4 linked regions of the Styela clava genome follow. The protein of the gene in region 2 purifies or fractionates together with the protein of the main gene of each other region. This does not show direct contact. Links are inferred from orthologs where the notes say so. Each region holds a gene or a part of one and is shown on either strand. Other genes may lie near its edges. The genes, in order: nuclear pore complex protein Nup50-like, importin subunit beta-1-like, regulator of chromosome condensation-like and nucleolar and spindle-associated protein 1-B-like.

Region 1 (6,903 bases), on a different chromosome or scaffold from region 2:
ATGCTAGATTGCAGAAATGAGTATATTGATAACTATATATTGCCAATAACTTATCATGAATGCAAAGGTTCATGCTATCATAACATTTCTTTAATGTAACATTGTTTTCTGATTTTTCATTTATTTCTACAGCTGTTTCAAATCAAGTAAACTGTCTGAGTGCCATGATGATGATCAATTTCATCAGCTCTATTGGTAGAGCAAATTTGTGAGTTTGTCACTATTTAAATGTCATATTATTTGTATGTAAACTGTCCTAAATTCACGTTCGTATCAGCTTCTTTAGTATCAGCTGTTAAATGAAAATTATTTTTAGTTTGTGTGTATAATCTGTATTATTCGTATAATGTGAGGATGGTGACCGTACATTTGAACCCATGTACATTTGAACCCATGCGTCTATCCACGGGTTCAATCTATATGCGGGTGCTAAAACCCATGGGTTAGGGTTAGTATGGGTTTAACTATCCGTGAAACAAAAAAAATTCCATAGGTGCAATAGCATACAGGTGCAATTGTCATGGGTTCAAATGTACGTGGGTTCAAATGTAATGGAACCTGTGAGGATACTTTCATCAAGGTAAATTTCTTATTGGTATTGTCCCAGATATGTTCAAGTAACCGAGATGTGACAAACTTTTCAAAATCATTCCCATTAGTCATTTCTTGTTACATGCAGGCAAAACTAGTGTCACATGATTTTAGAGTAGAGCAAAGTTGTTCGACATGCAATCACAATCGAAGACAAAAGAGCCTTCATTTAATATCTGAAAACTAAAAATACTCTACTGTTTTACTTTTCCAAATTCATATAATTAAATATACATTGGATTTTATGTAATTCAAAAATATCATTTCAGAATACAAAAAAATCTGTACAAATTCGAATACAAATTATTCGGTTTTAGTCATTGCCTAGGTCGAATTTGGTTCTTTAATATCTAGCGCACTTCATCAATATACTATCTTTAACCCTGTATTTTCATTTATACTGTTCAGGTCATGAAGACAAACAACTGTTATGGATAGGATTATAGTAAAAGTGTTGTCAAGTCAAGATTGCAGCAGTGCTTTATTTTACGACTTCGTGTCCAACAAATATGTGGAACCCGCCTTTGTGTCCAACAAATATGTGGAACCCGGTTAACTTAAGCTTAACAAACAAATTATTCTTGCATGCTAAAACATTTGAAGCAAAAGTAATTATGTCGATTTTTCGTCACTTGGCGAGTCTTTCGCAGAAGAAATAAATAAAACTTTTAAATAGCAACGAAAGCAACAACTATGATTGCACCTGTGTCTGTGTGCATCTGTCTCAAAGCTGTAGAGCCAGGATAAAATTTAGCACCTCTTCCGAATTGATTCTATACTTTTTCCATTTCTTGAATGTCAGTACATTTTAGCAGTCATTTGAACAAATGAATATTAGTTATTTTTGCAATACAAATTTTCAAAATAATATTATGTTAAATATGTAGAAGCCTGTGGCCCAGAACTTGCCAGGGATAGGTTTTCAGCTGAAGTGTGTTCATTTCGTCTGTTTTCACTCTAAGTAGGATGTGGGTTCTATAATTGAAGTCTGTTTGTTGTTACGCTGAGGTTTAGGAGAAAATGTTAGATTCAATTGGTGTTGTAGACCAGGGTCGTCCAACTCGTGGCCATCGGGCCATATGTAGAAGCATTTCTAGGTGTTTGCAAAAATAGCCTGTCAAGACAGACCATAACTCGTCTTGTTGAAGAGCTTGGGAATTCTATCGCGAGAATTTTAATCGCAAAAGCGGGATATTTTTTATTGTATTCCTTGGCGCTTGAGGAAGCGCTGACATTAAGTTTACTGCTCAGTTGGTGACTTGCTATCTTTTTGCGGGTAGTTAATGATGATATAAAATTACCGTGGAGACCGCAGCCATTGCCCCTGTTAAGGGTTTGACTAGAAGCATTGATTTGTTCGACAGCTGTGATAAAAATGATTAAGCGTCTTGTCTTTGGCTAAACTTTCGGGAATAACCACTGATGATGACCCGTCAATGTTTGGAAAACAACAGTTTTATTGTTCTAATAATTGTGAAAAATCGATGTGAGGGTATTTTTTTATTATTAACCTGTAGTAGTGTAGCAAAACTAGATCATAACTAACATGTCAATTGGCCCGCGCAATTATTAATGAATTACATGTGGCCCTTAGACCAAAATGGTTAGCCGACCCTGTTGTAGTTGTAGACTGTACCAGTAGTGGGAAGAATTCTATTTATGATAAAGTGTTATTATTTCGATATTTCGTGTGATGCGCGTCAGCTCTTCGTAGTTCTACCGCCCAGATTGTTTTGCTTCGGCAATATCAACGAAATACATCAAAAACCGACTTTGCAAAGACAGCAAATTACAACAAAATTGGGTTCGCGTTGTCATCGCCATGGGAATACGGGGTCAAAGAGCAACATGCCACGACGTTTTAATGAAATGCCTCGTGGCGTCGGACTTAAACCACGATTAGTTAAGTAACCGCTAAACTAGGTTTTTGATCACCGGTTAACTATCGAAGTTAAACCGAGTTTAACTAACCCGAGATTAGTCTTAATCCAAGTTTAAGTTAAGTGAGGTTTTTGATCTCCACCCTTAAACTAGGCTATAATAGAGTAAAATGATAAAATTAGTCTACTGAATTATTATGTTATCCTGGTTTAGCATAACTATACAACACAACACCATTTAGTAATTATTCTGTTATTTGCAACACTCACCGATTGTTGACTGCTACCAACAATCCTACGCTTTGCTTTTCGAATAACACGGGTTTGCAAAACATCATTATCCGCTGTCTTGAATGTTCCAGAGTTATCGTCATCATCAACCTCATCTTCCTTGTCCCAATTTTGGTCTGTTAAGTATTTATCAGCGACACGCTTCGACATCGTGGCGCTAGACCTAGTTCACTCATTCACGAATCGCAGAATTGAGCAAGTAACGTGCAAGTGACCAAAATAACCCTGCTGAGGAACGAAATACTGTATCTTCAATAAGGCACATATATGAGGCACATCTGGCTTCTAGTGGAGGCATATGCCACGAGAATATCGAGGCATCTAAAAAAGTTCGAAATCACTATCGGGACAATAAAAGAATAAATTCATTTTATATTTTGTAAGTCTTAGTTTCATATAACGTTAGGCCTATTTGTAAATATTAGAGTAGGATAAAGTAAATATATAGTTTAAATTAAAAGTAACACTACCTGTGAATGCGTGGTTGAGGAATGATTCTTCAAAATTCTTGCCACAAAATAACTTCGGGACGCGTTTATTGTAATAATAAATTTAAATATAAATAGAAAAAAATCGGCATTGATTGAAGAAAATTTGTATTGTGATAAATGAAAAATTTAATTTTTCAACAAAACTATATCTTTGTAATGTTAGCAATAAACTAAAGCCTTCAATTCGTATTTTTACCGACTGTGGTTCTGTGCATTCACATGGCATTCGTTCTGCTTCCAAAGGAGCGTTTTTCAATCCTCGAATAAACTCAAATTTAGCTCAATATTTAATCAGAATCATTGGGCTCAAAATTTGAAATGATATTCCTGACATTTTCAAAACCTTCTCTTATAAAAAATTTAAATCTGAGTTCATGAAACAAATCATATCCAAATATTAATTATGAAGGCAAATCTATTTTCAAATGGATACTGGTGTGGATATGTCATGTATAAGAGTGTATTTATACCTGGTTCTCCCCAGTTTGAAAATATTTGTGCCATGTACATGTCCAACCGTATACTCTTTAATCTACCAATATTTTCATTTTTATCAAAATTTTAAAACCTACATCTCTAAATTGTGTAGAATATCGTATTATAATATACAGTATTGTAAAAATATATTCACAGTTTTCTTCCTTGCCAAACCATGATTAGACATTTCATAATATTGCACGCTTAATTTTTACGCATGGTACCGCTTACATTTACATGGTGGATGTTTTATCTATGACTTCCCTGGTGTGTAACGTTATCTATGACTTAACTGGGATGTGCGTATGATTGCAACCTAACAATTGTACTGCCCAAGTAAACACTAGTTTACTAAATTTTGCTTCAAATTTCAAAACAGATCCGGCCCGTGGAGTAATAATAATCCAGCCCTCGACGCTTCACTGAATTTAAGTAACAAAACGGCTGTTATGACGGTTATATTTTTTACGTAACAGAATTTATTGTGAGACACGTGTAGGCTAAACTAAATTATATTATACCCTAACAAGTATATATTCCACAAAACCTCGTTTAATGAGCTTATAGACGAATGGCAACAAAACGCAAAGTTGATGCTAAGTGCAAAGGGTTCAATGGCGCTGAAAATATTCGAATGAAATTTTTTCGGATGCAATGCAATGATGAAATCAATCTATATTCAATTCGAGAAATGTATTCCTTCTTGATTTCATTTTTTATCGTGAAAAGTATCATTCGTTCGTTTTTTCAACTTTCTGAAAATAGCGAGCGCGCGACAAAAGGTTGCCGACCCCTGCCAGGGTGGTCGCTAGAAAAGCAGGAAATTTGAAGGTCAGATGAGATTACGAATAAAATGCGTGCTAACTCATTACGTATCGATTTTAATAGGTAAGTATGTTGATAGGTATTTGTTTGTCTGTATGTCTGTCTGTTAGATGCACGCGATATCTCACAAAAGCGAGATTGAATCTGCACCAGATTTTGCATGTGCATTCATCATATGTCGTACCAGAAGCCTATTGATTTTGGATGAATTATGTCGTATAATTTGCGAGTTATTAATTAATTAGTGATGGGACGCAAGGCGTCACTATGAAGTAAGAGCGCTGTTTTGGGGGTACCCTAACTTTCGATCGATAAGTCTTCGGTCTCTGACCGATATTCTCGTTTCTTTTTCGATACGTTTTTATTTATTTCAGGTTGATGAATGTTACCCCGAGCATCATTTCTTGTTTATTTCCGTAACAATTACAAATCAGCAATAAGTTTGTTATGTTTGAATAGAAATGATAGATTTGAACATGTGAGCGAGTTTGTGAGCGCCAACTCTCCAAACCACTCGCAAAATCAGAGCTGAATATTTGGCAATAACAACGTGAATATAGGGAGAATCTTCCAGGGGTGAAGGAAACATCCATACTGGTCAGGTTTTATTCGATTTCTATTTTGAAACCCATATTGTGGAGGAAGGCAGGAAAGAGCTTTCAGACTTTGAAAGGAAAGTGGTTATTCTTTTCAATAGTGAAAATCCGACTTTCATACATATTTCGAATGGTCATCGAAAACTTTTAATTCTCGTATTTTATTCTTATTTATTATGTGCTTTCTGGTTTGACGAAAAAATATTGACGAAATTATCTATAAATTAAAAATAAATTCTCTCTCCTCCTTTTCGCAACTATCACACGCAGAAAACACATTATGGAGGGTATTTGTCATCATAAAAACAAGTGTACAGGACAGTGTCACGGCAAATAACATAATACAATATTCCGTCTTTCTGCGATGTTAACACGATATTTGCTACTTTATTGTTGTATGTATGTCAATATTATTGTATGTTATTAGTTTATCCGAAACTTCAATGAACAATTGTTAGCTGCTATAAAGCCCGTCTTATTCAACACTATAAGCATAAGGGATAAGATTAATATTCAATGCCATTCCGGCTTCAATAAAATGATGAAATTGACTCAGGTAAATAATAAGGGCGAACTCTCGAAAAGTATATCAGGTGACGGCACATTTGCACCCATGTAAATTTATTTACTCACGTAAATCGCACCTGTATACTTTTGTACCCACCAAAATTTGCACTCATAGATATTTCCACCTTGAAAATTGGCACATACGCACATCTGATCCCATACTGCATACGGTTCTGTTGCCCGGGGAAAGTTTCTGATAACGATGCCACCTATTCGTATATTATCTGATATGCCTATATCTTCTGCTTTGGCTATTTCATGAGATAGTTGTGGTTTGGAATCGCAAAAATCTTGTCACCTGATCATCACAACGCTAACTTTAACTGGCCAAGCCTCCATGTATAGATTACACGGGTATAGATTACATGTATACAGGAGCAGAAGTAGTAAATGGAAGAATGTTCTAAAAATTGTAACCCGAATACGGTTAAGCACATTAAGTATATTACATGCGTGTCATGTATCGTATATAATATATCGTATCGAAATCGAACATTAAAGCTGGGCCTTTCGTTCTTACTCAGAAGTGAAGCAGACTCATCTCTTTCAGGCGACCACTGAAATGCTAACAGATACTGAAACTTTGATACCGTAGAATTATGGTGATAAAACAAAGTTTTACAGAAACATTTTAGACGGTCCATGAGCTTTACGTGAAACACAAAATAGCAAATCGGAATTAGTCTAGAACTTGCTAAGACAACAGATCGAAGGTAGCCGCATACCAGACTACATGGGAAGGCATGATGTTTTATATAAAAGCAAATATTATATTTCTTTTCCAATCGAGATCAATGGAACTTTACGCACACATGGCAAGTAAAATGCAGTCACCGAATGCTGCCTGAATCACACCAAATGTTTAAGATCTTGGAACATAAGGACTTAAAAAATATATATGTTACAATTCATTGGTATTGAACCAGTCCACAAGTTGTATATTTCATTAATTTTGTATTTTACTTTCAACGTATTTTTCGCTATGGTGGACCAGTCGTACTAAAATTTCCAATGTTAATCCTTCTTATTTTGACAACGAACTTTTAGATTTTAACGCAATCTGGATTAAACACATGTTGGTGTAATTGATGCCTCAATTAGGAGAATTTAAGTTTGTGTCAGGTGAAGAAATTTGGAGATAGTATTGGTAAGTAAGCGATGCGGAAGGGCAAATAGATTTGAAAA
Region 2 (6,962 bases):
AAATATTATTTTGTGTTCCATCGAGAGCTAAAGAGCTATATGAGGCATGGAGTCGAGTTTGATTTGTTTTTATCAGATTTTGATTTAGTCAGAATTTGAGACATTTCTTGGTGGCGATGGAAATCAAAATTTTTACATAGAAACTCAAAAAAATTGATTTGGCGAAGCGTTCCAAACATTCGTTGTGCGAAGCGTTCCAAACATTCGTTGTGCGAAGCTTGCATACAACACAGTTTATTTTTTGAAATTTGCATTCCCTAAAAGTTTGGAGCTGTAGTTGAAAAAATGACCCACAATAAACTGTAATTTTAATTACGATATACAGATTGAAGAAAAAAAGATTTTTTCTTTTTGAGGAAATTTGCTCAAAGCACGGTTGTCACATGCATTCACTTAGGAACTGAAAGGATTGATTGCTGAGCAAAGTTACAATTGACCACTAGAAAGCGAAGAGCTGCTAAAAATATAAAAATTACATGAAGATGAACAATTAGATTACAATTAGATGAAATTACACGTTAGTATATACAAATTGGTATAAAAATACTCAATTCCACATAAATGTCTTTTCTTTTGTCTGGTATGTGCACTGATTGTAAAGTTATTAACAGCCAACCATGTTTATCGACTGAAAACATTTGAGGGAAAAATTCTGAAAGTTCAGATCATAATAATAATTGTAACACTAATTCAGCATCCTGTTATTAACCACAGCACGACTAATCATAGTATTTTGATTGTAACCTTATATATATTTCAATAAGCATATGTAATATAGACAAGATAGTGTCAGCAACGAGATATCCATGATTCAGATCTATGATGTTGTTTCAAGCAACAGAATAGTACATTTGTCAGTAGTAATAAATAGTCACCAGGAAACAGGACCACCAATATGACATGCAATAGCTTTCTCTGTGAGTCACAAGTTCTTAAACCATACAGTTGCTTACTACTAATTTGCCAACTGGGCATCATGCATTGCATGTCAGTATACAGTGCCATGAAAATATTCATTCACATTACCATATCTGCACAAATGTATCCGATAGCCTCCAGTGCTCCCTCCTTCAAATGTTCAGTGCTTGTTTCTGCAGTCACACTTTGCACAAGTTGAGGAATAAGCTCTTTCCATCCATCTAAAGGTATTTCAGCACATGCGATTGATGCAATTACTTGTGCCGCTGATGAAGGTCTGTTAGTTTCTGTGCCCAATGCTTGAAGAACCTGAGATATTACAATAAATATTAGTATTGTGTCAACTTATCATGAGTGGAAAAGACCTTATTGTGTCAACTTATCATGAGTGGAAAAGACCTTATTGTGTCAACTTATCATGAGTGGAAAAGACCTTATTGTGTCAACTTATCATGAGTGGAAAAGACCTTATTGTGTCAACTTATCATGAGTGGAAAAGACCTTATTGTGTCAACTTATCATGAGTGGAAAAGACCTGGGCCCCTTTTATTAAGAGACCCAACAACCATGTTATTCTATTTTTTTAAAAACATTCTGAAATAGCAATAAATTGATTGAACTCTATTTCATACTGCATACAGAGATCTCACACTATGCTTTCAGCACCTGAAACATTTCACATAAAAACCATCACCTCATTGGAAAATGCTTATGGTAATGTAAAGGTCATACTTACCAGTTTTTTAACTTCTGATCGAGCTGCTTCATTTAGAGACAGCCAACGTTTCTGATTATCGAGCCTGGCAGTTTGGTCTTTTGAAGTTGTATAATTTTTTATCTTGAAAACATAAATGAAGGGTGATACAATTTATGTAAATTAACAAATATCTAATCAAACTTTTTTCAGATTCAAGTTGAGAGCATTCAACTCATCTAAAACATACACTCGATGAAAGTGGATGTCAAATTGTGTAACATGTAACATTATGATGCCATGGATATTTTTGAATTAGCAGAGTAGCAATAGTGTTTAGTGTGACTGTTATATAGCATCAATCAGAAGTAAATTGTAATTCACATTCATGGCTTTGCAGATTTTGGTACATTGACGAAATGAATGTGTGCTTATGAACAGAAAAATGTGCATTCATCAATAACATCTGCGGATTGTACAATTTTGAAAACTTATTATGTGATAAGTGTGCCGCAGTTTTTTGATTTTTTAGTGCGCAGCAATCTAAAAAATATTTGACAATCACCTGCAGACCAGCAGCCATTCTCGAAACTTGGCTGTTTCCAGGGTTTGCCAAAACTTGACATAAGCTGACCAGAAATTCCGCAAGACTGCTTTGTGCGGCTTGTTCCAGAAATCCTTGTGCCTGCTTAATATCATTTGGGTCTGAAAAAGAATATGAATACAATACTTTATGAAAACCTTTATATTCTAAATTTCCCCAGGTTTTTTTTCTAAATTCTGTCACAGGTGTATATATATATAAACTATTACTATTACCAGTAAATATTAAATTTCAGAAATTTGCAAAAAAGGATAGGAATACGATTTTCATATTTGCTGCAATGAAGGATAGGTGGTAATATCGACTAATCATGTGGCGCATCCTGTACAAGTCAGATATGGAAAAAGATAACCTGTTATTTGTTTCAGATGCATGAGCTCGATAGTGGGAAAGCCGTAACTGACCAGTGGTCAAGTGAATTACACTACAGCACTACGGAAGTGAGGAGTCCAGCAATTCTCCCGGCTCCCACGTAAAACTATGAGATTCAAACATTCGAATTCACACAAGTTAATCACAGATGCGATGGAAAGCTTGTTCCTAACACAGTGAATGTTGCGCCAATCATCGAGCCATGATTTCATGAAAACGATTATTCAAAATACAAGCTTAATTAGAGAAATAATATTTATAGCAATAAAGTTACCCGGTGACACAGTCTTATCCAAGATTTCCACAAGAGTCGCCATTTTACTGAGTTTGTAAGCTTATTCTTAAAATTGAAGTTCCAGAGTTGCAAATAAACTAAAAAAAACTATGCCAGCCCTTGAAATTTACAAAATCCTATTATCCTGAAACAAAATTCTTTAGTTTTTAGCTCACAGCAGCAGAAACTCCATAAGCGAAGATTTCAATTTTTTTTGTAGGTGAAAATGCATCTACCTTTTAGTAATACCTAGGTGAGCTATTCTCAAATATATAGAAACTACTGCATAACGGGTACAAAGGCTGCTCATCAACACACAGTAGGGCACAGTTCTCAGATTTCAAGATGCTCCCACATTTGGAACAATAAAAAAAAACACTCTATTTAACTCTGATACGAGGGCATCTGGCACGACGACACGTCAGATCGTTCCATGATTGTCTCGATAATATTTTAAATCAATCTGACCAAAATTGTTCCTTTGCCAAAAACTCTTGAATGCTATGGACTATGGTAACATATTCTTCCTTTGGTAATCATAATTTTGTTTTTCGACAAATCCAATAGCAGAATAGTGACGTTTTTAGATTGCATTTCCTCTTAGTTTATTGCACAGTTGATTTGTGGCAATATAGACACCACGTAAATATATAGATGTCTCATAAAAATGGGATTCGCATTCACTGTTATAATTGATGTGTATTAATGTGAGGCTATGCTCCTGTGCTTAGAATCGGAGAGCTGTGCCATACGGCAGTAAGGTAAGCGCAGATTTGGCCTTAAAAGATTGACAAACAAGCAATATCAAAATACCGGAATATAGAGGCATTTGCGCTACAAAAGAATACATGTTCAACTTTAATTTTTGATAAAAACTTGGTTCTATATCCAGATATGCCTTCAAAAACGCTTCCCAGTGACTTCTTCCATCTTGATGAAAATTCATGAAATTTTAAATCAATTGCCTCATACAGGCAGACAGGCTTAACTTTCAAATAAAACAAAATACAGTAGGGCACACTATACAAATCGGGTGACATTGTCCCGTTTCAGAGAAACCCATTTTACCGATGATCAGACACCCCTACTTTGGGAGACGTCTGGACATTGTTGTCCCTCAATATCAGTAATAATACAGTATAATGAAGTTGCGCAAAAAAATGACAAAAACACAAACTTCAGAACTTAGTTAAACCAGGCTTGGAGCAGAAATAAACAAACAAAATACATGATTGTAATAAACTTTGGGATGTTATACTTTCAAAACACTCAAGGCTTAAGCTAATAATGACCAAGTCAATCCGATACCGGTAATGCCTCATTTCTGTATTTTAAATGTCTGGAAAGGATGAAAATATACAATTTAATTCATTACAAATTCTTGTCTAAACAATTTTGATATCAATCAATCAATTTTATTTTGGTCCCTCTGACATAGGCTAGAACAGTAGAACAAACAACAGCAAACGGAGGGCACATCCAGATCCAGAGATAGCAAAAACATCTGCATTCACCAGTTGGTCTTGCTGCCTTGTGACTCGCAAACGCTAAAACCTGTTCACAAGGCATTGTACGGTATTCTATCACATTACATAAAATAGGCGTACCTCACTCTACTAGGGCCACTCTAAATACAAGATGAATAGCACAATTTCCATGTAAAACTCAACCAGAAAGCATGACCCGGCCACAATACAAGCTTTGGTGGAGGTACTGGTACAGGAAGCCACACATCGCGCCTTATTCGAACATTTCACCACCATAGCATGACGTCATGGAATCAAAATGATTTTCCCCGAGCAGGGTAGCGTACCTAACTCAGATGCGTGATTAGGTCGTATGTGTTTGGTAAATTAGCAATGTGTATGGACGTGTATAGGAGAAAAATGTATTGCAATAAACGGGGCTTTCAAACTGAGAGCCCCGATCCCCCAGTGGGTCGCGGAAGGGCTCGATGTGGGTTGCGGTACCGGTAACAATTAATGTCGGAACCAGCCATAGTTACTTTTCTTCCTTTTTTCTCTATTTATCCTTGTAAAAAATTTACAATAACTTATGTTAAATCAAGATATCGATCAAATTTGAAAGTTTTAGAACCAGTACTGCGATCCACCATCGCGAAAATAGAGCCAATAACGAAATTTAAACCGCCCAAAAGTCTGTCATTCCATCACTAATAAAACTCTTAACCAGTAATTGTCAGTTTGGCGCCAAAGATGGGGAATCATCCATCTTGAAGGATTATTCGACCAGTACCACTTCTCCCTTGGTGCAGAAACAAATGCTACCGTAAATATATACTACAAGATGCTACTGTGGAAAAATTGAACCAAGCGCTCCTAAATATTGAGCATATTAATCGCACTGACCCTCAGTGGTTCTTAAACGATGGTGCGCGTCCCACAAGTAGGGTATAGACAATTTTTTGAGGGACGTGAAGCTAATTAAATATAAAAACATTTGTTAGATTTGATTTTGCCTGCCTTATTCTGAATATTCGCATTTCTTTATTCTGGATATTTACGTTCCATTCATGTAATTTTAACGTGTTTTTGAATAAAACATACTTTCGTCTTACTATCTGTTATTTTCAGCTTATTTTTAGCTAGTTACTTTTGAGGTGGGCGCGAGACTTGACAAATTCTCAAAAAAGAGCGCGTCTTAAAACGTTTGAGAACCACTGCACTAAGTAGCCTTAATTGCCGTAATTTTATGCCAACTAGCCCTGAAAATACGTTCCAAATTGCTTTTGCAAGCCGTTCGCAAATTTCACCAAGCATGCGATCATCTCACCATCAGTTGTTAAAAACAACGGTACGTTATGACGAAATTTCAGGCGATACTGTGGTTTTCCTCCACCAATCAACTAATTTGAATAAATTGATGCAATGAATAAGTTTAATTCACTAAAATTACAAATATTTCAATTGCGTAGTAGGAATGATCTTGGTATAGCAACAGCAAACGTGTTCAGAAAAACTCTCTGGTACAGAAATCTGCTCTCAGCAATTTTCTTCTGTACCGTCATAAATTCTGAACATATTTATTGTTATTATACATACCATTTCTTGTAATTAACACTTTACTCTATAATGAAAAAATAAATAAGAAGTTGTAGAATTATTTAGGAAGAATAATTTAGAATATGACATAGAACAGATTAAGGTTTTTGACCGTTCAGACTGTCGTCAAAAAAGGATTGTTCTCAATTTCGGTAAAAACTAATGAAAATCATAATTTTTGGTTCTCTCGTATCATTTCCACTAAAAAGTTTTAATTAATATGATATTCTCCTAATTTCGAGATAATGCAGATTTACTGTTTAGCCAGTATTTTTTATTTATTTTTTTATATATATAGAATAATTTTTATTAATAAATTATGTACAAAAATAAACACATAGACCATATATATGAAGTGATATAAATTACGCCAACCGATAAACACAAAATAAAATAAGTATTTAAATATTTTGTTTCTTCTATTAACCTATAACATAACGTAGATCAGTTGGTCTAACATTAGTTTCGATCGAACTCTATGAATTTTAATGCCAAGGAATCGACGGGCAAAAAATTTTAGTTTTACATTTCGCACATAACTGTAACTTGCTGCATTTTAACGTATAGGTGTCATCAGTTTTAAGCGTGAAAATTTGGAAAGTTTATATCATGATTCTGGGAGAAAGATGCTTTGGTAGTATATATAGAAGGAAATTACTATTAGGCTACCCCTATTTTCTTTGATTCATTTCTTTAAAAAACTAAGACGGGTCAAAGTTCAACATCGTAACAGAGTCGGTTTGTCGTCAGAAAGGGTTCGGGATCATTATCATATCGACGCACAATCAATCTATAATAAGTGTTTTGAACGATATCACACCACGTTAATGTCTACTCAGATTGTTGCAATATGTTATTCAGAGCTTTTTGCATTTCATCCACTTTAAATCCCAGAGGTCCTTTCGCACTGATATATTCTAAGCAACCGTTGTAGATAATTGCCATACGATCCGGAATCGTACCATATTGCTTCGTTGCCTCATTTTCTATTCCATCCAACACCAAAGGGCACGAAAAGTAGTCTTTAAGATTTTCTGC
Region 3 (7,686 bases), on a different chromosome or scaffold from region 2:
TATCTTTGTATTAAATCTACAGAAATCAATCAGAAACTATCCTTTAAACCTGAATCTTGCTGTCCAAGGGATTTATAACCATTAGCTCTGCATTCAAGCAAAATATTCAGATTCAGACTGTTCTAATGAACTACCATTCAACTCATATAGTAATTTTCTAAGTCGATATCCAAATCACATTTTATGACAAATCTTTTGTAAAGATAAAACCATCTCAACTGTAAAACCGCATTATACCTGCAAAACTTAATCTTTCACGCAAACTGCTTCTTGGCATGGGTACTTCTGGATTTGCTGTAGTACTAGAAGATGAGACTTCATCTGTAGAATATTATTATTATTCTGTTCTCTCACTTCTCTGTATTATTAAATTTATCTAGAAGTCTGCCATGACCATCAATTTGGAACATTGAACTTGGTAAGTAAATAATCTGCTTTCCTAGCTCTACTTGTAACTTGGACGAGGAACCTCTGTTTGAGTCTGACAGACTTAAGACTAGATTTGGTTTCTTAAACTGGGTGTCCTGACCCCTCCCCTGGTGGGTCACAATAAGGCTTCATAGAGATTGCGGTGGACTAGATGAAAGTTGCTATTACACTAATTCATGAAGAGATTCCGTCATATTTGCTATCTCAATAATGACAGTGAGCATTTTGGTGATGATGATTATATATGGGTGCTTGGGTCTAAGATTGTTAGCAATCAATGACTAATTTATCATATTGTATCACTTCATTCTTACCTGCACTTTTCCTTCCACCTCTACTTAATGCGTATTTACTCAATCTTCCAAGTTGTCCTTGCTCACCACAACCTAATGTAAATACCTGTGAAGTATTGTAATATTAGTTTGAAAACCGGTAATATGTCTCAAAAAAAGTAGCATGCATTTTTTCTAATGAATAAGCACACAAGCAAAGAAATAATATTTTTGCTGTCTATGAAAATTGAATGCCTACATAACGTAACATAACTTCACAGTGCAAGATCAAATTAGGCTGCTTAGGCATTGCCTTACTTAATATTGCCCTACTTAATTCATTACACTTAGGGTTTGAACGAGAGAATGTTAAAGTTAATTGATGTACATTGGCAAATACTCAACTCGTGAAACAAACGAACCCACGATTTCCAGATAAATTGAAAAAATTCAATTTGCTTTCAACAGATTTAGTTCTGAAGATACAAAGGTTCAACTGAATGAATATTAGAGAAAATTTGAAATGACAAACCTTTCCCTCGTCAGTGATCATTGCAACATGGTCACATCCAGAGGCAATTGCTACAACACAATTTTGAATTTGGTCTAATTTGATTGGCTCGCCACACTTTTCCCATTCCTTAGCTAAACCCAGTCTGCCGTGATTATCCTGAAAACAATTGAACAAAAATGAAACATCCTAAATCTTGTAATCACAAGAAATTTATAAACTCGATTGAAAAGATTCGACATGATCATTAATTTTTATGAACAATTGGGGCCCAATTAAATTTGCACCGAACAAAAATTAGCGTCTATGTTTTCAGAGTCCTATATGTTTTCAGAATCCTATAACATAGGCTACCTAATACCTGCTTGTTCTGCAGTTGTCTTTGTTTAAAAATAATAAATTAAAATAATTTTTTATACTTACTCGAAAACAGCCCCATAAAAATACATTTCCATCTTCTGATAAAGCAGCACAGTGACTATCACCAGCAGATATATCAATTACTTTTACTCCTTCTAAACTTCCACCGACAATTTTAGGTTCAAATCCTTCTGAATCGTCAGATGTTAATCTTCCTAATGCCCCCTCATCATTGCAACCGAATGAGTAAACCTACGATTATAAATCCATGGGTGTTAATGTCCAAAATTATATAAATAACATGTGAGTGAGAAACCGACAATATTAAAATAGCAGAGGATAGAATTTTTCATTTAACTCAGGCAAGGTAGATTGCAAGGTAGTTCGAAATAACTGATCAACCATGGTGCAAATAACTTTTAACTGGAGTGTCCAACAACCTTCTTCAGTTTCAAGTCATATTCAGACTTTCAGAGTTACGGTATATATATATGATTTTTAGCTATACCTTATGATCGTCAGTCAAACAAACAGTGTGCATTCCTCCGCCAATAATTTTCTTGATCTTTTTTCCATCAAGTTCTCCTCTCACCAAAGCAGGCTTTTTTCGTTCCATTATATCTTCTCCTAGTCCCAGTTGGCCTGTATCTCCTTGTCCCAATGTTAGAGCTACTCCCACAGAAGCCAATTCAAATAAATTGGGAACTGAAAGTCAAAAGTAGAGTGTCAGACTACAAAATATCGTTTTGTTGCTACAATGTACTTTTGAAAAAAAAGTGGAATGAAAAATATGAGCATTTCTACCAACTTATATTTATTACACATATAAAAATTGGTGATCTAATGGATGCAAAATTCAAAGGACCAGTCATTCACTCATGCCTAAAACTTTTTTGTAACCAATATATTTTATCAAAGTTTTATATAGGCTACAGAGGTGTCGATTCAAATACAGCCAGTATCTCATATCAGCATGTGGTCTATGTTATCTGTGATATATATATAGGAATAAATATTATTACCTTCTATCTTCTTCTGTTTTATTCTTGGTTCCTCAGAAACGGATTTACTGAGTTTACGCTTCCCAGAGTTTGAGCCTTTCTCAACTGCAGAAACTGGTAAAAATTGCAAAAAATTTTAATAAAATATTGTTCCTACTGTACCACCATACAGTCATAATAAACTATGGTGTGATTTTTGAGTACTTTCTCTCAAAAATCTGAAAATTGTTATCTGGTTATAGAATAAAATCTGAAAATAGGTTTTTGCCATAGAAAAAATTCAACTTCAGGACTTGGTTAAAAAATACAAATAGCCTCACTTTTCCTTGGTCTCCCTCGAGATTTCTTTGGTTCTTCAGTTTTACCCACATCTTTAGTTGATAATTTGCGAACCATTTTCTTTTCAAAACAATTACAGTTATAGTCTACCGGTAACAATCTAAAGTTTGATAATATCCCGTTATAAGATAAGCTTAATACTGTCCTGGGCAGCGCAGTACGGTACTTTGTCTTTTAGAACTTTAAAAAACAGTTGGGCTATAGTCTAACTTAGCTACAAGTACCGATTCATTCTCACCAGAATTAGAGTTATTACGGTATGTAGTACCGTAGGTTGTAGGCTACGTACAGACGTATAGGTACCACAGTCGCTACCATAAACAGTCAACTGACCATTAAAAACTGCCTTCATAAGTCAGTGATTAACACCTACCGTAGCTTAACTACGACAGTTTAAAATATTCTGCAAGTCGTATTACTGCATTCTGGTATTGCGAATACTATTGGATTTACTTAGTAAAATGCAATCTGGAGACGGGAATGCTGGAACGGTTTATCAGTATTACGCCAGTCTGGATTTCATGGCCTTTTTGAACGAGAAATCGGGCGTGCAATCAGAAATTCCCGCGTGCAAATAAGAATTCCTGGCGTGCAATTATAGCTCACGACGTGCAAAACAACTGCACTCGCGTGCAACTGACTTTGACATCAGATACCTCTCAATACATCCGCGTAAAATTACCGGTATCGGATAAAAAATACGTTGAATCAGAGAAAAAATGGACGTTTGACCTTTGACCCCAAACATTATTTCTACAGTTTGTCGCTAATTTTGAGAGTGTTTGTGCGACTTTGGATACCGGTACTGTTCAGTACATCCGCGTAAAATTATTGGATAAAAAATACGTTGAACCAGAGCAAAATGGACATACTTTGTCATTAATTTTGGTAGTGTTTTTACGTAGAATTAATGGATAAAAAATACGTCAAATTAGAGCAAAATGGACGTTTGATCTTTGACCCCAAACATTATTTTCATACTTTGTCACTAATTTTGGGAGTGTTTGAGCAACTTTAGATACCGGTACTGTTCAGTACATTCGTGTAAAATTATTGTATGAAAAATACGCTGAATCAGAGCCGTACTTGGCCATTGGTGCGGAGGCGATCTTTTCGTCCATAACTATTCTCACGGGATTCCTATTTCCTATCATTCAACACGATATGGACCTTTCCCCGAGCATCGACTTCCTTGTTTACTTCGTGACATTGGCCAATCAGCAAGATGCAAAAAAGGATGTAACAATGAGAGGAATTTTTCGCGGGTCAAAGGTTGGGGAAAGGTCCATACTCCATGGTCTTTTTGCTTCGCAATATTTCGATCAGACCAAATCTTGCAAGCTGGTATTTGTCGACAATTGTGGAGGTATAATATTTTGGCATCTTTATATTACTGGATTATTGATTTTAAAACCATTTAAACCGATTTACATTGGTGAGCAATTGCAAATTTTCGGCGTGCAAAATTGATTTCGCTCGCGAGCATTTTTGCGGAGCGCTAGCGCCCTCGGGCGTGCACCTGCCATGGAATCCAGTCTGGGTATTACGCACCGGTTCTATTGTTGATTATTGTTTGTTCTCGAGCCTCTTATCTTCAGAAGTGCTATAATTACCACAGGCGCTCAAGCGTCGTCCCGCGAATCACGCAGTGCAGCAGTGGTACATTCCCGCAATTAAAATGCACATCTCATACCGGTACACCGATGTCATTTTGACAGATTTTCAGCAGAAAAAATAAGACTTTACGTCCGGACGTCAGAGAAAAAAAATATTTTGTCACATTTGACTTATGATATGATAAGGCGTAAATATATACTACTACGGATAGGTCATTGAGTTGTATAAATAAGGTATATAAATGAATATTTCTGGAGGCTGAATCTAGCACAAAATAAAACAAGAGAGCTATGCTCAAATATATGGACACGTGACGCCACATAAGGGCAAATTTTGATGGCGTTATAGCACACAAAAAAAACGATAAATAAAAGTAAGCCTTCTAGCTAAAAATATAATCTTTACTCTTTAAAAATTTTAAAGCAATTGGTTTAGTAATAAAGGAGAGAAGCGATTTTTTAAAAAACGATACAAAGATGAAGTCCAACAAGAACAAGATTACCAAAAACATGAAAACGATCCATAGGTCAAGTGCAGTTTCAAGTATTTCGTGGCGTCTAGAAGTGCCGCAAAACCATGGCGAGATCATTGTGGGTATATACACCTCAATGGGCGAGATATCCCAACCATAACCGCTATGACCAAACCCACGGCGACTGACTTTTTATCTGCCACAAACCACTGAGGTGTAATGCCACAAACCAACAGCGAGCTGCCGTCGTAACCATTGAGGTGTATCCAAAGTGACTACACTTTGGGTGTATCACCTCAATGGTCGTAACGGCAGCAAATCGAATGCCGCCAATTTTGCTGCCGTAACCACAGCATGTCGGCTGTAATCATTGAGGTGTCTGTAATAGCAAGGCTGCCCCTGATGGTGATAAATATTGGGTAAGTTGGAACGTTTTTCTTATGGATACAGTTTGGGTGAATTTGGGGTTAGGTTTAGATTTAAGTAGATATAATTTGGCATGATAAACTAAAATATTGTACATGACTTAGTAAATACACCGGTAATAGCGCCACAACACCATGGCAGGAGACAGCGGGGTACGCTCGTGGCAAGAGCTGCCATGAAGTGGTAAGAACTGCGCCTCCATAGGTCACCCACATGTCCAAAAAACAATATTTTTAATATAAGGGATTCATTACGGGTTAAGGAATCGATGTTTTTTTCTGAGCATCGACTCACTCGTCTACTTCTTTATCATTAACTAATCAGCAAAATGTCAATTGTGGCGTGCCAATTCAAATTACCGGCCACACAGAAAAGCTTTTCCCACCCAAACAGGCCTTCGGCGCTGGAGCTTGGGAGTAAACGTTGGATTGCTTTCGTGGTTTTGTTGGTTATTTGTCAATTTTTGATTGCGTTACCTAAATTCAGGTATAGATGTCTTTTTGTCCCCCGACGTAGCCTTGCTACAAATTTTAAAATTTTTAAACCGCATATAAGATACGCTCAGTAGGCCTACATAGACTTACACAATGTACAATAAAACAAAATGGTGATGAGAGACGGGGAAAACAATACTGATTATCTCAGAAGGAGTCACAAAATGAAACAAATATATAAACGAGAATATCGGTCGGAGACCGAAGCCCATCGATCGAATGTTAGGGGATCTCCAAAACAGAAACTGCGGTTTTGCATCATTCGCTCTTACTCCATAGTGACACCGTGTGTCACATCACTAATTAATTGATAATTCGCTAATTATGCAACATAATTCATCCAAAATAGGCTTCTAGTCCGAGATATGATGAATGCACATGCAAAATTTAGAGCAGATTCAACCTCGCTTTCGCGAGATATCGCGTAACATACGAAAGTGTCTAACAGACAAACAGTATAGTTCTGGAACAATGCTTGAATGCTTTACATTGCTTTGGTAATTGTTGACAAACAGCATCATGAAATTATGGGATGGCGATATCAATTTTCGGGAACTATTTCACTTTCTTTATTTTGCTAAGAGGTCGTACAATTCATGGAGAATCGCCCACAAATGTTTATTTAAACAACTAAATTGAAGAAACAAGACATGCATTTAGCACACACACTGCTTAGAGTTTAAAATATTATATTTTATCTATTTTTCAATTTTGTAGAATATTTGCGTAATTTATTGAAAATCAAGAAATGGGTCTCGTATCTTGCATTCACTGGGACAGGTATTGAAGGCATTAGATAAAAATACATGCTGTAATACGAATGCGCCACAGAAAATGGCTTGCTTCACATGCAGGGGCGTGTCAAACTTTTCTGCTACGCGGGGCGAGTTTCTCCCCTTATACCTAACTTCAAAAATAATAAGAGGGATAAACAAATTATAGATACAGTGGTATACATGAGAATGAATCAATCAAAGGTCAAGTAAGAGTTGAATGTTTGTATTATCATTATTTTAATCATCAAACTAAGCAACAACCTCGCCCCATAACGTTCTGGTCACCACCTAGTCACTCCCCTGGTTATATATTACACGCAACTTTAGGAGTTGCTCTTACCCAATCCGCTATTTTAAAGCTTTTTTGATGACAGTTTAAAGTCTTAACTTGCAGAACAGACCAAGTTGTATTCAATACAAAAAGTCGGACTTCTGATTTATACAAAGCATTGGAAAATAGAATGCATTTGTCGCTTGAAAAAAATATTTTCAATCGCTCATGAAATTGGTGTAAATCGTTGTAAAATCTCCTGCGGTTATTTTATTGCAATTCTTGTATGTCGAATGAGACAAGTATTTGCAGTAGGATATGGATTGGATTTTGTACGAAATAAAAGTAATTCTGATTCTACAGGGGAGAAGCACACAGAGGAGAATCCTACAAAATGGCGTACTAGTCTTCGACCCTGTCTCCTTCTTGAAGTTCATGCGTGAAAGCAAAGTATGATCTAGAAAATGAAAATCATGTTGATGATGAATCTTGCTATGCGTTTAATTTTTAAGATTGCAAACAGAGCTTGGCATTTTAAATCGAATAGTGAATTTTTGGAATCGGTCCAGACGAAAATTTTGGATCGCCGCCATGTTTTTTTTTCGTTCACCAAAGATCGAGGTCCGTCTATTTTTTCGTTGAGGCATATTTGTTTTACATACGAGTGATTTATTTATGACACAGGTTTCTTATTCTGTGTGAACACACAACCAACTGT
Region 4 (7,299 bases), on a different chromosome or scaffold from region 2:
CTGGATTGAAAAAGGGAGAAAAAAGGAAGAGAAAGACTCGAAAAATATAATTTTTCATTAATGACTATTAAATATGTAGACCTTGATAGAGTCGGCCCTTGACACAATTCGTTAATATGCCTAAGCAATAAACTTATTTTAATTGCATCAAGACATATACTAGCTTTTTTTCTCAGATATGCATGGCTATATTAAAAATGTAGTAGATGACATAGCCATTTTAGTAGGGACATAGCGGAAATAGCCATTTTAGTAGGGACATAGCCATTTTAGTAGGAAAATATCGGAGTCGCAATTTTAGATGGGACATAGCCATTTTAGTACGGACATAGTCATTTTAGTAGGAAAATATTGGAGTCGCAATTTTAGATGGGACATAGCCATTTTAGTGGGACATAGCCGTTTTAGTAGGAACATAGCGGACATAGTCATTTTAGTAGGAACATAGCGGACATAGTCAGAAAATATCGGAGTCGCAATTTTAGATGGGACATAGCCATTTTAGTAGGGATATAGCGGACATAGCCATTTTAGTAGGGACATAGTCATTTTAGTAGGAAAATATCGGAGTCGCAGTTTCAGATGGGACATAGCCATTTTAGTAGGGACATAGCCATTTTAGTAGAGACATAGCCATTTTAGTAGGGACATAGTCATTTTATTAGAAAAATATCGGAGTCGCAATTTTAGATGGGACATAGCCATTTTAGTAGGGACATAGCGGACATAGTCATTTTAGTAGGGACATAGTCATTTTAGTAGGAAAATATCGGAGTCGCAATTTTAGATGGGACATAGCCATTTTAGTAGGAAAATATCGGAGTCGCAATTTTAGATGGGACATAGCCATTTTAGTAGGGACATAGCGGACATAGCCATTTTAGTAGGGACATAGTCATTTTAGTAGGAAAATATCGGAGTCGCAATTTTAGATGGGACATAGCCATTTTAGTAGGGACATAGCCATTTTAGTAGGGACATAGCGGACATAGTCATTTTAGTAGGAAAATATCGGAGTCGCAATTTTAGATGGGACATAGCCATTTTAGTAGGGAAATAGCGGACATAGTCATTTTAGTAGGAAAATATCGGAGTCGCAATTTTAGATGGGACATAGCCATTTTAGTAGGGACATAGCGGACATAGTCATTTTAGTAGGGACATAGTCATTTTAGTAGGAAAATATCGGAGTCGCAATTTTAGATGGGACATAGCCATTTTAGTAGGGATATAGCGGACATAGCCATTTTAGTAAGGACATAGCGGACATAGTCATTTTAGTAGGAAAATATCGGAGTCGCAATTTTAGATGGGACATAGCCATTTTAGTAGGGACATAGCCGTTTTAGTGGGAAAATATCGGAGTCGCAATTTTAGATGGGACATAGCCATTTTAGTAGGGACATAGCCGTTTTAGTAGGAACATAGCGGACATAGTCATTTTAGTAGGAAAATATCGGAGTCGCAATTTTAGATGGGACATAGCCATTTTAGTAGGGATATAGCGGACATAGCCATTTTAGTAGGGACATAGTCATTTTAGTAGGGACATAGCGGACATAGTCATTTTAGTAGGAAAATATCGGAGTCGCAATTTTAGATGGGACATAGCCATTTTAGTAGGGACATAGCCATTTTAGTAGGGACATAGCGGACATAGTCATTTTAGTAGGAAAATATCGGAGTCGCAATTCTAGATGGGACATAGCCATTTTAGTAGGGACATAGCCATTTTAGTAGGGACATAGCGGACATATGGGACATAGCCATTTTATAACTACCCGGTACCGGTACCGTATACAAATTTTGCAGAGTTTTTCGAATATCTTCAGTCGTTTTTGATATCATAGATTTCAAATGTTTAAGCCAGTTTATATATAATCTGAATTAATTTTAGCAACACCGCACGGAAAATATCACAATTCTCATGATCATTAGAGCGTAACCATTGCACTAACCAATCATTCATCCGCGCGCTGTGCTTTGAATGCTTGTGGCTTTGTTGATATTTGGCTTTGGGGGTCGGGAGGTTTTGCTGGTTCCGTTAATTCTGCCATTGCAGCATTAGGATAGGATAGGATTTACATATTTATCCCGGGGGAGAGGAAAGCCGATAAGACGGCTTATCCATATGGCGAACCACGGCCTCTCGTCCGGTTACCATTCCAAGTCGGGTATGGGATTAGATTTACTGTATTGTTTGTTTTCGGAAGCATGGACTTGGTGGTGGAGGAAGCCGTAACCGACCAGCGGTTACGTGAACCACCCAACGACGGCGAGGAGTCCAGCAATCCTCTCGCACATAACCATCTCTGTCTGGGATTCGAACCTGCGAACCCACGCAGAGTAGTTAGAGGTGCGGTGGCGATCGTATTCCTAACGCTTAGCCCGTTGAGCCACACCGCCGCGCATTGCAAATGCAACACGAATTTTACTACATAACTTGAGCAATTGGAACACAGATTTATCATGGAATGTAAAGATAAATAGGAATGTAACTTGAATCCTATCAATGTCAGCATTTTGCATCTGATACCGTCAGACCGTACGGGCGTACGGTACAGCCGTAGACTAGTGCTGTAGTGATCCCGGTAAGTTAGATTGGTTAATAATATTAACTACAGAACTATATTAATAATACTGTAGTATAGGGCAGTAGGGGTGGATTTGCATATTAAAATAGAGTAAAAGCAATAACACGGCTCAATCATATGATATGGTGAAACACGGCCTGACGGCCTCTCATCTCCGATTTCAGGATTACCAATCCTGCAATCCATGTCCGGTACCAGTAGGTAGGTAGCCTAGTTAGGGTTTGCTTTTAAATGGGAAATTTTGACTATATTGGATAAAATGAATTATAAGAACATTAACAACTACGGTATGTTAATGCAGTAATGCCCATTCAAAAGTAAAAATGTGCGGAGTCATTTAAACACAAAACTCCAAATACATAAAAACCAAAGTGCATGAGAATAGTCACCACATTTAAAGACATCAATTTTAGTAATGAATAGAAACCCCGGGTCTCGTGTAGTTTCATACCTAACGTACTTCTAGTGGGCGTAGCATTAGCATATTATTTTATTATGTCACTGTGACATCGTAGTGACATAATTTTTGGATGGCGTAATCAGGTGGGGGTTAGGATTAACATATGCAAAAATTGTTATGATACGCTCACTAGAAGTACTTTAGGTACGAAACTACACTAGACCCCAAACCCCCCTATACGAGACAGTACGGACCTTCATATCGGCAAACCGACACTAGAAATAAACTAAAAGGAAGCGCAATCTAAAAACATCACCATTTAGTACGGCTCCTCATACAGCTCCTCATTGTCTCATTTCAGAGAATCCCATTTTGGCGATGAACAAACACTTCTTCTTTAAGTTGCACAAAAAACTACAAAGAAGTGCAATCTAAAAACATCATCATTGAATTCCTCAGGAAAAAATAATCCAAGTCACAAACGGAAAAATATTCTACCGTGGCATTCGTGAATTTAAAGCAAAAAGCGGCAATTTTGGTCACATGACTGCTGCAATTAATTTATATCATTATTGAGACAAACATGATGCGATATGACGTATCTGCTGTTGTACAGACACCCATCATTTGTGAGACACATGGAGTGTCTATTTTATCATTGAAGCAAATGACAGGACATTCTTGGAATTTAGAAAGTGTGCTGTACTGCCATTGAATTCCTTAGAAAAAATAATCCGATTCACTGAAGAACAGAAGGATAAATTATTTTACTGTTGCATTTGAGAGTTTTAAGCAAATAACCCCAATTTTATCGTGTGATGGGCCATGCACGCTATGATTGACTTAAATTATTATTGAGACAAGCATGGCGCGATCTAACGCATATGCTGTCACGCCAGACTCCGTCGTTTCAGAGACAAATAGAGTGTTATTTAACCAAATGTCAGTGTATTGCGGCCCCATTATAACAGAGAATAGTTTAGTGTACAAGACCTTGTTTGCCTATGTCACAATTGTTTGACTCGACAGAACACAGAGGTCTGATATTGATCGCCAATTTATTCAAAAAACTTGCAAAATAGGTTATGATAAGTTTTGCTTTGGCAAAAAAATTACCAACATTGGCTATTCAGGAGTATACTACAGGAAATGGATCTGTATAAAAAAAGTCTAAACTTAAATTTGCATGTATGAGAGCGAATAAACACTATTGTGTTTCATTTATTTAAACCACAGTTGGATTATTATACAAAAGAAATAGAATCAATATAATGTTTCTGTAAGAAATTTATTCACTTGTTTTTAGCTTACTTATTGTAGGCATATTTTTGAGTTTATTAAACACTGTCGTTTTTGGATTCTGGACGATTTATCAATCATCCTTCAAAGTCCAGTAGTCATGTTGTCCTCAGATTTAAAGTCAATGAAAAGAGCTGAATTACAGAAGCTGGCTAAAAAACATGGAATAAAAGCAAATTTGAAGGTAATTTGTTTATTCTTATCGCTTGTTATCATAATCCAAATGATAATTTATTTTATAGTATCTGTGATAAGCCCTTAAAATGAAAAACAATCAAAATTTATTCATGATAATTGGTGATTTCAATTTTAGATTATATTTTTATACCAATAATTACTTTTTTTTTATTTTGCAGACTGATGGAATTATTGCAGCGTTGCAGTCAGTATTCGATGCAGAAAAAGAAAATGCAAAAACACCTGATACTTCACTGGTAGCACAATCAAAAACACCAGTTAATGTGGTATAACATTATGACAAAGTTAATTTGAGTTCGTTTTCGTGTCATGTTCAATGTATTTCTTTTTAGCATTAGCCTTTATGGTCTTAATGACATTATCAAATTGTGTTTATATTAATAATAGGATGGGACTGATATTTATCTTGCATTCTCTGCAGGATTATTTGCAAAATATAAAGATTTATAAGATATTTCCATCTCTCTAATATATCTTAATGAAGTGCATTACTGTATTACCATAACCTATGAGTATTGTTGTGTTATATTTTATTATTTTTCTATTTTAGTTTCCAACTCCGCCATTAGACGAAGCAGAAGATTTGTTCTCAGTCAAACCACCATGGAATAATAGCGACTTAATGTCTTTTGTGAGAACAGTTTATTATATTTTTCTTTCATCAGAAAAACACGATATTGTGTAATTATTAATCATAATTTGGTTCTATTTTTCTAGGTTATCTAGGTTTTTATATTTAATTTTCGAATCAAATGCAACTGCAACTATACAGTCTATGTGTCTTCACAGGACTCTACCCCAGAACAAGATAGCAAGAATGACAAATCTTTGGAAGCAATTCCTGAAACTGGAACAAGAACAAGAAGTTCATCTGGGAAGAGGGTGAGATTACTTGTTTGTATTATTTTCTTTTTCAATCACAGTTGTACCCTTAAATGCCAACTATCCAATAAACTTTTCCAAGGATGTCAAAAACGAATCAAATATTCAGATCATTCCGAATGTTTTGGCAAGGAACTGTGCTGTATGACTATTCATCAGTAAACAAGGGATATTCATATAGTCTTTTATAGAAATTAGGGCGCTCCAGAAGTGTGTGTACCAACATGGGGGTAACTAATTTTGTTCGCCTACTTTACATCAAGTTGTGTAAAGAGACGGAAGCTAGGCTATGGGCACGGGCAATATTCACTTTACTAACACAGACAGTCTCCGAACTTGTAATAGAACCAAAATAACGAAAAACTGAATAAAATTATTGTAACTTAACTGGTACACACACTACGGGTGTGTCGAAATTAGAGCTATCTTTTGAAATTTTAGACTGTTTTTGCATAATTTACCATATTTTTACAAGTTTTTAAGATTGAAATTTATCGGAGAAGAAAGATCTTGATTGCCTGGAAGGGGACATTTTTATTCCAAACCTCATTTTTCAAATTTCAGTTTACTTTGTGTAATAAATAACCAATATAAAATTAGAATAACAGCTAATATTTTGCTCTCTCTGAATATGATTTTGGAGCTTCCAAGATATATTTTATGTATTCTTTTTGTCCTAGACCCCCAAAATAGCTAATGAATCGAAAGATTTTGCAACAAAGACATACAGCGTTGAAAGGGTTAAAACAAAATCAAGAACCGGTCGATCAAACAAAGTTGCTCCCACTTCTGGCAAGAAAACAGCTAAAGTTTTGAAGCGTCGATCTTCAAATGCAGTTGAAACCATACAGGTTAGGTCGTTTTCTGGAACAAGGTATTGACACTTGACAGTCATCGACCTATCATGCAATTGTTTATGAAGTGTTTTACATTTGTTAACCAGCAAGTATCAGGTTTTGCATTACCTACTACTAAATTTATTACCCATCAATGTGTTATTTTGAAAATAGGATGGGAATAAGATATGCTGACTTGTCATATGATATAATTATAAACACACTTTTTATTAAAAAAAATTTAATTAGAACTAATTTTTGCAATAAAAATGTATTCGAAATTTCAATGTTTCCCCGTTTGTTTCAAAACCTGTGGAATACTAAATATGACGTTAGAGTATTTTATCGAATATAGTTCTTTTTATTGACTGATGTACATTCTAGTTTTAAACCATTTTATATATAATCCAAAAGGCTAAAAAACCGAGGAAGAGTGGATCAAATACTGACCAAGAATCTGTAGATGAAAAAAGTGAAGCAATCGACATTGATCTTCAGAATGAAATTATGAATGAAATAAGAAAAAAAATTGATGCAACAGGTATGCATGAGCCTTCCTCTCACATCTCGACTCATTCCACATGTGCATAACAAGGTGTTATATTATATGCATATAGTAGCCTACTATGGAAAAAGGCCATTAAAATTTTATATGGCTCTTTGCTGTTTTTTATAACATATTATCCCCATTATTTTGAGAACTTCCATGCCGCACCGACACAAAGTTCTGTTTTTTTGTTCAATTAACCAGATGAAAAAAGTAAATATGGTGGCAGTGATTCTTTTGCAAGTAGAATTCCAAGATTTACTGCATCAGGTGTTACTATCGGAACAAGCAAGCCTATTACACCTGGAAATAAAGACTGGAATAAACTACACAATAAGTAGGTGTCATATCTGAATTTATATATATTGTACGCAATCTAATATCAATTCTTGAATTTAAAATTCTATTTTAGAAAATTCGATAAACTGGAATCCATTGATGATTATGAGCGAAGAAAAAAAGTGCGAGCAGAAAGATTACTCGGTTCCAACAAGAAAAACAATGCAAGTCTGAGCAAACTGGCACAACCAGTGAAAAGGGTGA

What was found.
Region 1: the proteins of importin subunit beta-1-like (region 2) and nuclear pore complex protein Nup50-like purify together in Homo sapiens (affinity purification with mass spectrometry; 4 studies listed by BioGRID and IntAct, counting the BioPlex papers as one, with this or other methods). This does not show direct contact. The link is inferred for Styela clava from reciprocal best matches to the Homo sapiens genes KPNB1 and NUP50.
Region 3: the proteins of importin subunit beta-1-like (region 2) and regulator of chromosome condensation-like purify together in Homo sapiens (affinity purification with mass spectrometry; 3 studies listed by BioGRID and IntAct, counting the BioPlex papers as one, with this or other methods). This does not show direct contact. The link is inferred for Styela clava from reciprocal best matches to the Homo sapiens genes KPNB1 and RCC1.
Region 4: the proteins of importin subunit beta-1-like (region 2) and nucleolar and spindle-associated protein 1-B-like purify together in Homo sapiens (affinity purification with mass spectrometry; 3 studies listed by BioGRID and IntAct, counting the BioPlex papers as one, with this or other methods). This does not show direct contact. The link is inferred for Styela clava from reciprocal best matches to the Homo sapiens genes KPNB1 and NUSAP1.

Annotation. Positions count from the first base shown.
Region 1 is NC_135252.1:2,763,354-2,770,256, forward strand, and holds the start of nuclear pore complex protein Nup50-like, read right to left. Parts: upstream 3,015-6,903; 5' UTR 2,913-3,014; coding exon 2,742-2,912; intron 1,460-2,741; exon of another isoform or gene 1,000-1,459; intron 209-999; exon of another isoform or gene 1-208. UniProt on the Homo sapiens protein: Component of the nuclear pore complex that has a direct role in nuclear protein import. Actively displaces NLSs from importin-alpha, and facilitates disassembly of the importin-alpha:beta-cargo complex and importin recycling.
Region 2 is NC_135250.1:22,448,705-22,455,666, reverse strand, and holds the start of importin subunit beta-1-like, read right to left. Parts: upstream 3,026-6,962; 5' UTR 2,906-3,025; coding exon 2,863-2,905; intron 2,318-2,862; coding exon 2,178-2,317; intron 1,757-2,177; coding exon 1,655-1,756; intron 1,228-1,654; coding exon 1,027-1,227; intron 1-1,026.
Region 3 is NC_135257.1:1,501,833-1,509,518, reverse strand, and holds the start of regulator of chromosome condensation-like, read right to left. Parts: upstream 3,013-7,686; 5' UTR 2,970-3,012; coding exon 2,894-2,969; intron 2,688-2,893; coding exon 2,595-2,687; intron 2,278-2,594; coding exon 2,081-2,277; intron 1,825-2,080; coding exon 1,636-1,824; intron 1,372-1,635; coding exon 1,234-1,371; intron 829-1,233; coding exon 744-828; intron 1-743. UniProt on the Homo sapiens protein: Guanine-nucleotide releasing factor that promotes the exchange of Ran-bound GDP by GTP, and thereby plays an important role in RAN-mediated functions in nuclear import and mitosis.
Region 4 is NC_135251.1:26,346,287-26,353,585, forward strand, and holds the start of nucleolar and spindle-associated protein 1-B-like, read left to right. Parts: upstream 1-4,271; 5' UTR 4,272-4,393; coding exon 4,394-4,477; intron 4,478-4,649; coding exon 4,650-4,757; intron 4,758-5,041; coding exon 5,042-5,122; intron 5,123-5,280; coding exon 5,281-5,373; intron 5,374-6,053; coding exon 6,054-6,224; intron 6,225-6,623; coding exon 6,624-6,750; intron 6,751-6,960; coding exon 6,961-7,093; intron 7,094-7,168; coding exon 7,169-7,295; intron 7,296-7,299. UniProt on the Homo sapiens protein: Microtubule-associated protein with the capacity to bundle and stabilize microtubules. May associate with chromosomes and promote the organization of mitotic spindle microtubules around them.